Macaca mulatta: one gene and its partner. The protein of the gene in region 1 interacts with the protein of each later gene in a biochemical or structural test. Links are inferred from orthologs where the notes say so. Each region holds a gene or a part of one and is shown in the gene's direction. Other genes may lie near its edges.

The links. The genes of interacting proteins can lie anywhere in the genome.
Region 2: the proteins of COPA (region 1) and COPE form a complex in vitro, tested with the Homo sapiens proteins (3 studies listed by BioGRID, with this or other methods). The link is inferred for Macaca mulatta from reciprocal best matches to the Homo sapiens genes COPA and COPE.

What each region holds. Positions count from the first base shown.
Region 1 is NC_133406.1:106,543,791-106,548,365, forward strand, and holds the start of COPA (coatomer subunit alpha), read left to right. Parts: upstream 1-1,611; 5' UTR 1,612-1,689; coding exon 1,690-1,729; intron 1,730-4,444; coding exon 4,445-4,558; intron 4,559-4,575. Other genes in the region: NCSTN (nicastrin), read right to left, coding at 34-138, 1,379-1,463. UniProt on the Homo sapiens protein: The coatomer is a cytosolic protein complex that binds to dilysine motifs and reversibly associates with Golgi non-clathrin-coated vesicles, which further mediate biosynthetic protein transport from the ER, via the Golgi up to the trans Golgi network.
Region 2 is NC_133424.1:19,475,075-19,479,542, reverse strand, and holds the start of COPE (coatomer subunit epsilon), read left to right. Parts: upstream 1-1,491; 5' UTR 1,492-1,530; coding exon 1,531-1,656; intron 1,657-4,468. Other genes in the region: putative ATP-dependent RNA helicase DDX49, read right to left, coding at 8-131, 1,027-1,141. UniProt on the Homo sapiens protein: The coatomer is a cytosolic protein complex that binds to dilysine motifs and reversibly associates with Golgi non-clathrin-coated vesicles, which further mediate biosynthetic protein transport from the ER, via the Golgi up to the trans Golgi network.

The sequences.
Region 1 (4,575 bases):
TGTCCATAAACATGAATCCCAGTCTCAACTCACACTGGCAGCCAATCTGATGAGTGGCGTTGAGCAGGCGAACACAGGGAGCTGTTTTATTTAAGGGGATATATATCTTCCTCTCCACTGAGTTTCCCCTGCACAAACCTGATTGGAAGATAAAAAGTGTTAGAAAAAATTGAGAGACACAGGTATTAGCTTCTATCATGTAATTAACCTGATGTATGGCTTGGGTAAATCATTCAATATCACACTTTCTAAAATGAGGTTAAAGTCCATTATTCTTACTTCTTGCGCACATTATTGTAACAGATACATGCTCTACATGGCACTCAGCTATGTGCCTCAAAGGGTTATTAAAAAGTCCATGTAGCGCCATTGACAGTGACACTAAAAGAGAGAAAACTTGGTCAAAGGAAAGGTGTTTGACCTTAGATTTGCCAAATTCTGGTTGCACAGGTGATCACACTTCTGCTTGTATATCCTGTATGTATATTACTAACCGGTTAATACAAAGGTGCTGGGCTAAGAAAACTTTCTGAGACACTTTTCCAAGAGTGTGAATAGAATTGAGAGAAACCTTATGACATACACTGGTCAGTTAATTTAACATCAGTAGGTCATTTGTGTGCCCACAGTGTGGGGCAGCTGTAGTTTCTCCTTTGAGGATCTTTAAAAACAATGTGAACTAGGGGAAGGCACAGTCATAGTTATATACAGACATTTGCATTTTAGGGCGTGACCAACTAAAAAGCCATGTATCAGTAAATAAACGCGTATAAGCAAACAGTCAAGTATATTATAAATGCCAAAAGTTCCTTGAATCGTTACTTCACGGTTTGGACAGTTAAGAGTACCCATATCCTACCTTATTCTTGCTTTACTGATTAAAAAAACAAAAACAAAAACAAAACCTGAGGCAAGGCAGAGGGACACAGACTTTGGGTGTAACCAATAGAGGAAGAAATAAGAAATCTACCTTTTAAGCGCCGCACAGCACCCACAGAACAAGATTGCTTTCGTCTCAAAAAGTCTAAACGCGGGGAAGAAAGCTAACTTTCACACCTGTTTCTTTCGACTGTGGGGTGGGTGGCTGGGGTTGTGGGAAAAACGAGGCATCTGGACAAAGTGGGAGAGGGTCGAGTTCGAAGTCCAGGAAGAGGCCTAGAGAAGGGAGTGAAGCGACACGACATGCTGCGGGGGAGAAGGGACCTTTAGGTCCAGGCAAAGGGGGAACTTCTGTCGTGGGAACGAAAGAGAAAGAGGATTTACAGGGTGGGGGGACAGAGGGGCAGCAGGAACCAGAAGGGAGACAGTGGCGCTCGCGGCTGGGCCGATCCGGAGAGTTCCCTTTAGAGAACGGAGCTCACGGGTGGGGAGGCCTCACCTGCTAGTAGGACGCAGAAAGACAGAAGACGAAGGAGACCCCGACTTCCCGGGTCAGCCCCAGAGCCACCCCCTGCCGTGGCCATCTTGCCTCTCTGCTGAGCGGAAGCCCCCGTTCGGCTCCTGCCGGGTAGCGGCCTCTCTAGGCTACCACTGACACCATCTCTGTGGCCCGGAGCCCAACAGACCGGAAGTTCGTGTTTCCAGGAGCTTCCGGAAACCGCGGCAGAGGGTAGCTGACGTGGAGGCGTCCGAAGGGCAGCAGGGTGTGTCGGGGCTCGGATTAAAACATCGGAGTCGGAGACCTGAGAGATGCTAACCAAATTCGAGACCAAGAGCGCGCGGGTCAAAGGTAGTGGAGAAAAAAAAGGGGAACATGGAGGTTGGATGTCAAGAGCGGCGCAGACACCGGGGAAGAGAAAATGGGTAGACGTGCTGGCCGAAGTGGGCCCACTAGACGGACCCAGAGGAAGACGGAGGGTGGGAGAGAGGTTAGGCCTGGCTAGCGGTTCTCCAGTCCCCTCTTCTTTGGTGTGTCCTTGGGCTTCGATTTACCTATAAAGTGGCTCCCACACTGTAGGTGATTCCTTAGACCACCTCCCTATTCTTTCTTCTCCCTTTCTCTCTTTGCTGTGCTCCCAACTTGTATTGTTCTGCTCCAAAGGCCCTGTGACCTGTTGACTTTTTGATTGTGTTATATGGAGTGGCCCTGGGGCTTGAGTCTCGATCTCTGTTACTTGCACCCGAGTCAGTAGCTTTTTTGGAGACGTGTAGTGGCTACCTCACTTAAGGAGGCCTTGGCTGCAGCATCTCAACATCAGTACCTTCATTCGGCTTTATTCACTACCCGGAAGTAGTACTTTGAGGCTTATAACCCCAATAAAGTCTCAGCTTGATAGGGTTGCCAGATAAAATGCAGGACACCCAGTTAAATTTGAATTTCAGGTAAACAATGAATAGTTTTTTTAGTCTGTCCTTGCTTACCAGAAGTTCAAATATATCTGGGCATCTCGTATTTTTATTTGCTAAGTATGGCGACTCTAGAGCTCGAGTGTGGGTCGTTGGGGGTGGAGGGCAAATACTGAGATCTCAGTATTAACCTCAGAATGTTAAAATGTGAAAGGCAGAGAGAAGTAAGGTCTCCAGAGACCTGGAAAAAATAGTATCTAGAGTATGTAGTAAGATGCAGCGTAACAAAATGGTTAGTCTTTGAAGTGGTTGGTCTTTGAAGTCAGATGGGCTTGCTTTGGAATCCTGAGACATCCACTAACAAGCTGTATGACTTGGGTGACTTAAGGTCTCTAAGTCTCTATTTCCTCATCTGTAAAATAGTCTTTTATAGAAAGAATTAAAATGAGAAAGTATGGAATGTATTTATTACAGCACCTGGTGTAGACTCAGTAGTGCAAAAAGTGGAGGCTGCTCTCAATGTGTGAATATATTCTGAGCAGTTTCTAAGTCTCTTGGGAAACTTGACCTTGAAAGGTGGGTACCATTAAGAATTTCTGAGACCTGTGTAGGTGAAATGGGTCTTCATAATCTTTCAGTTTTCTTTTCTGCTCCTAATTTCTTGCTGGGCAGTAGAGAAGGAAAAACAAAGATGTTGTAATAATTGAGGGCAAACATCCATTGTTGAGTGTACTTATATATCATAATGGAAAAAAAAAAGAGAACCTAATGGAAAAATAGACAATTTAGAAGAAAAATTGTAAATGTTCAATAAATAATTAAAATAGTTCCACCTCACTAGTAATGAAAGAAATGCAAAAAAAAAAAAAGTGAAGTTACTTTCTTGGGGGGAGGGTCTTAGATTTATAAAACAAAACAACAAATAGCTGATAACATCCTGTGTGCAAAATGGGCACCTCCATAAACTTCATGAGACTGTATATTGATACAGTGTTTTTACATTTAAATATATGTACTAAAATGTTAAGTGCACATATTCTATTCCTGAGCAATCTCACTTACAGTTCTTTAGCCTAGAGCAGTAATAATGCAAATAGGCTAGATTATGTGTAGAAGTATCTTCAGTAGGCTCTTCTGATAGCCAAAAATTGGGGGACAAAGGTAAATGCCTGTTAGAATAATGTAAAAGTTTGCAGAACAACATCATAATGTGATCCCCACTTTCATAAAATAGTAAGGCCTGTGTCTATGTGTAACTGCATTAAAAATCTGAAAGGGTACACTCCAAACTGTTAGTAGTTGTTACCTCTGGGGACTTCCATTTCCAGTCTTGATAGAATAACAAACAAAATGTATGAAACAAAGGTTCATACATTGCTCACAGACGTTGGGTGACACGCAGTGCAGGGAAATGATTCTTGAGAGAAGGGAAATAAACAAGGTGAGTCCTATGATTGTCATAGATTACTGCCTAGAGAGTTTTCAGGCTTCAGTGAAAAGGGGAATCCCTTGTTCTTTCTGAGGAGACAAAAGTTTAGAGTGTGGGGAAGCAAAGATGCTAGATTTTGCAGGGCAAAATACTGGAGAAGAGGGGGCTGCAGAGAGAGAGCACTAGAGGTCTGCAGGATGTCCTCTCGGGTCTTTGAGTACTGATCTGCATGTGAGAAAACTATTCAAAACCTGACAAAAAACCACTGGAAAGGAGAAGGCAGAGCAATCCCCAGAGCTCACACAGGGCTGGGACTAGTTTGTGTTCCTACTGGCCAGAATGGAAAGACTTCCTGATATTATAGAGCTTCAAATAGAGACCTCAGATGGGCTATTGCTTTAATAATGGTTCCAGATTAAGCCTAGAATGAAGGCTGCTGTAGCCCCCCTGTAATAGAACCTAAAAGCAAGCCTTGAAAGGATCAACTGATTCCAAGTAACTTAATTGCATCCTAGAGCAAAGCCCAACAATATTTAAAGGAATATAACAAACATCTAGTACCAAACATAAAATTCATGATGTCTGGCATCCAGTAAAAAATCATCAAGTGCATCGAATGAATAAATGAGCCTAGGATTAACCTTGCTGTTTCTTTTTCTTATCAGAATTGACAGAAGGTGACATCATGGGGCTTAGTTAGCTCATTGTATCATTTTCTATTTTTTTCAGGGCTCAGCTTTCACCCCAAAAGACCTTGGATCCTGACGAGTTTACATAATGGGGTCATCCAGTTGTGGGACTATCGGATGTGCACTCTCATTGACAAGTTTGATGAACACGATGGTGAGCTATTTCTAAGA
Region 2 (4,468 bases), on another chromosome or scaffold:
GGCTCACCTGGTGGGTGTCAGGACGAGGCAGAAGATGCCATAGGGATCCTCAGAAAGCTTCTGCAAGATGGGAAGGACAAACGCTGCTGTCTTCCCACTGCCTGTCTTGGCACAGCCCAAGCAGTCTCGACCTGGGTTGAGGACAAAGCAGCATCAATACCCTCCATGTGTGGACAGCCATTCCACTGGGCACAGTGTACAACAGCTTACAAAGCGTTTAGTGAGCAATCACTGTGCGTCAAGTCCTGTGTGCCAGTAAGCCTTTTCCATTCTGGGCATACTGACCACTTTCCACTGGCAACGGACAAATCCTAGGAAGGGATTATCATCTCCATTTAACAGAAAGGAAAACTGGGTTTCAGAGACCTGCCCAGGACACACAGCCAGTGAGGAGCAGGCTGGACTGGAACCCATATGTATTTGACCTGAGATGCCCACAGCTTCCCACCACCTCATTCTAACTCCCTCCAGGAGCACATGAACTTGGGGAACCCAGAATTCCCTTCCCTCATAGGCATCTTGTGCTCCCTGTTGACCCCTTCATTTGTTTATTTAATCCCTGACTTGTCACATCTTAGGCTTCCTGTGGGCCTCTCTTTAATGGCCAAACTGGGTTGGGCTAGAGAAGCAGAGAGAAGACCTGCTCCTAGAGGAGCAATCACAGGACCAAGGAGTCCTGGATCTACCAGCAATTTTGACAGCCTCAACTTCTATTTGTAAAATAAAAATAGCAGTACCAGGTCTGCAGGATTTTGCGATACTATCGATTAGTCATTCATCAAACCCTCCCTGTGCTGAGACTATGAAAATTTCAGAGATTACATCAGTTGTGTACGGACATAAAGCGAGTCGGTCATGCAAGCTAAATGCCAACACTGTCCAGTCGGCCTCCGGAACCCCGGATCTCCTGTAACGCCGGAGGTTACCCCTCGCCTCGTGGAACCGGAATGAGCAAAGGCTGCGAGAAGGGAAAGGGGTCGAGAGGAGCGGAGACGCCTCTTGGGGAAGGCACCGAGCCATACTTACCCTCCAGGATGGCGGGAATGCAGCCGAGCTGCACGGGCGTGGGCTGCTTCAAACCCAGCTGCCGACATTGTGCCACTAGCCACGACGACAGCCCGAGCTCCGCGAAGCCTGACATCCCTGTGACCAGCCGTGTGGGGGCCCGTGTGATCTGCGCTTCCGGCGCGCGCCGACGACGTCACGAGAAAAACTCTTCCTGTTTATTGGATCTGCCTCCTGCGTGGTCCCACCTTCTCCAGCTCCCTCAGCCCATTCCCAGCCTCGACCGCATCTTTATCATGTTTCCCCGGATCCCATTGGCTTGCAGAAACACACTACAATTCCCGAGATGCCCTGCGTGACGCACTTACGTCTCCCGCCCCCTTGCTTATCATTGTGGAGCTTCCCATTGGCTTACTTCGCCGCCACTCGGAAAAAGTAAACTACATTTCCCAGCGTGCCCGTGAAGGTGTCTTGCTTCCGGCCGACGTGTCTTTCAGGAAGAGGAGCCGGTGAGAAGACAGCGACATGGCGCCTCCGGCCCCCGGCCCGGCGTCCGGCGGCTCCGGGGAGGTGGATGAGCTGTTCGACGTAAAGAACGCCTTCTACATCGGCAGCTACCAGCAGTGCATAAACGAGGCGCAGCGGGTGAAGGTGCGGCAGCGCAGGGGCGCGGGGACGCTGGGGGCGGAGGCGGAGGACGCTTCCTGGTGGCTGCGAGCAGTGTTCTGCATCTAAAAACTTTCCCTTTTCTTCTCGCGTTTTTTGGGCACTTCTTCACAGTTCAGTGAGGAGTAATCACTGTCCCATGACAGAACCCAGAGCAGTAACAGTTTACGGTACTGCTCACTCGTACAGCGCTCGCTCTGCGCCGTTGAAGGCGTTTTGAGTAAGGGAGGTGTTTATGCCACTGTAGTTACAGTAAGTGTTTTTTGTCCAGCCATACGTTCAGTTCCCGTGAGGTGGAGACTGTTGTTTATCCTCATTTTACGGATGAGAACCCTAGAGTTCAGAGAGGGACGTTTCCCTGCCCACCGATCCTGGTTATTTCTCTCAGAGCTTAACCATTCATTCATTCATCCTTCATTGAGCACTTTTATGGACGGGCACTGTATTCCGCTGGACTCAGAATGATAACACAGTTTCCCAGCTTAGTGGCTCAAACACCTTTAATTCCAGCGCTTTGCGAGGCCGAGGCGGCCGTATCGCATGCGCCCAGGAGTTTGAGACCAGCTTGGGCAACATGGAGAAACCCTGGGTGTACCAAAAATACAAAAATTAGCCGGGCGTGGTGGCGGGCACCTGTAATCCCAGCTACCGGGAGGCTGAGACAGGAGAATTGCTTGAACCCGGAGGCGGAGGTTGCAGTGAACCGAGATCGCGCCACTGGCACCCCAGCCTGGGTGACAAAGTTGTAAGAATTAAAGAAAGAGGAAAGAAACACGAAAGGTGACTTGCCAGTCAAGACAGGTTTATTTTAGAGAAAACAAACCTGAGAGGCGCCTTCTGGCCGAGTTGGGTCAGAGGCACACTCTTTTACAGACTGAGTTTTTAAGGATTCAGGGTGAGAGAGTTTATCAGAGGCTTGAATTGCTTCTGTGTCTCTTTGTTGTGCTTATCTGGGAGGGAGAGTTATGTGTCTGTTCCCATACGTCTTTCTTGGTTCTTTTTCCTTCTTTCTTTTTTTATTTTTTTTGAGATGGAGTCTAGCCGTGTCGCCAGGCTGGAGTGCAGTGGCGTGATCTCGGCTCACTGCAACCTCCGCCTCCCAGGGTCAAGCGACATAATCTCACTGTGTGTCACCCAGGCTGGAGTGCAGTGGCACAATCACAGCTCACTGCATCCTCCTCCTCCTGGGTTCAAGCAATTCTTCTCCCAAGTAGCTGGGATTACAGGTGCCCACCACCACACCCGTTTAATTTTTGTTTTTTGTTTTTGACGTGGAGTCTTGCTCTGTTGCCCAGGCTGAAGTGCAGTGGCACGATCCTGGCTCACCACAACCTCTGCCTCCCAGGTTCAAGCGGTTCTCCTGCCTCAGCCTCCAGAGTAGCTGGGACTACAGGCGCCCGCCACCACGCCCGGCTAATTTTTGTATTTTTACTAGTGATGGGGTTTCACTGTGTTGGCCAGGCTGGTCTCTAACTCCTGACCTTGAGATCCGCCTGCCTCAGCCTCCCAAAGTGCTGTGATTACAGGCGTGAGCCACCGTGCCTGGCCAGGAATACTTTTTTTTTTTTTTTTTTTTTTTTTGGAGACAGAGACTCCCTCTGTCACCTAGGCTGGAGTGCAGTGGCACAATCTCAGCGCACTGCATCCTCTGCCTCCCGGGTTCAAGCGATTCTCCTGCCTCAGCCTCCTGAGTAGCTGGAATTACAGGTGCCCGCTACCACGCCCAGCTAATTTTCATTTTTTGCTTTTTTGGTTTTTGTTTTTGAGATGGAGTCTTGCTCTGTTGCCCAGGCTGGAGTGTAGTGGCATGATCTCAGCTCACCACAACCTCCGCCTCCCAGGTTCAAGCAATTCTCCTGCCTCAGCCTCCCGAGTAGGTGGGATTACAGGCTTGCACCACTACACCTGGCTAATTTTTGAGGAATACATTTTTTAAGCCATCTGGTCTGTGGTAGTTCATGACAGTGGCCCGAGCAACCTCAGCCCCACCTGAGGTGGCCCCAGGGAGAGCACCTGGCATGTCTTTGCCCTTTACTGACCCCAGCACAAGGCTACCATCATGACATTTCTGGCTTTCTCAGACATTTGCCAGTTGCCCACAAGATGGCAGGCACTGCCCAGCTGCTGGGATTGAAGCAGCTCATAGGCCTTGAGTTGCTGGCGGCCCAGTGCGGTTAGGTCGCTGGCTACAGGGACAGAAGGGAGGAGTTACTACCCCCAGGGTTTCTGGCTACAGGGCCCCCATCCTATCACCCGCCTTCCCAAACAGTACTCTGATTCCTCAACGATGGCCACATCTTAAGCCACCTGGGGCCAGTGCTGGGACCATCCTAGAGCCAGGTGACCTTGGTGGAGGTGGCCTACTGGCTTTGCTGATTTCTGGGCTCCCAGGTGATCCTAGTGAGCCCTTGGGGTTGAAGAGCAGTGCTCTCCCACCCCGCGGACACACGATGCTACCTGATGGTAGCATCATCCCTGGGAGTCAAGGAAAACCACAACGGTTCCAGAGCCTCACATGAGGGTCACGGTCTGCACGTTTGTTGTTGTTATGCTTCCTGGCACTCTTCTCTCTCCCGTGCACTCTGCAGCCTCTGAGCACTTCTGCACGCACAGCCTCCTGGGCAATTGCATTTCACACAGGGGCGGCTGAGGCCACCCTGGTGCCCCCCATGGTGCCCCACTGTGTCCTCACTTTGAAAGCCCAACAGCTGGCCGAGCGTGGTGGCTCACGCCTGTAATCCCAGCACTTTGGGAGGCCGAGGCGGGCAGATCACGAGGTCAGGAGATTGAGACCATC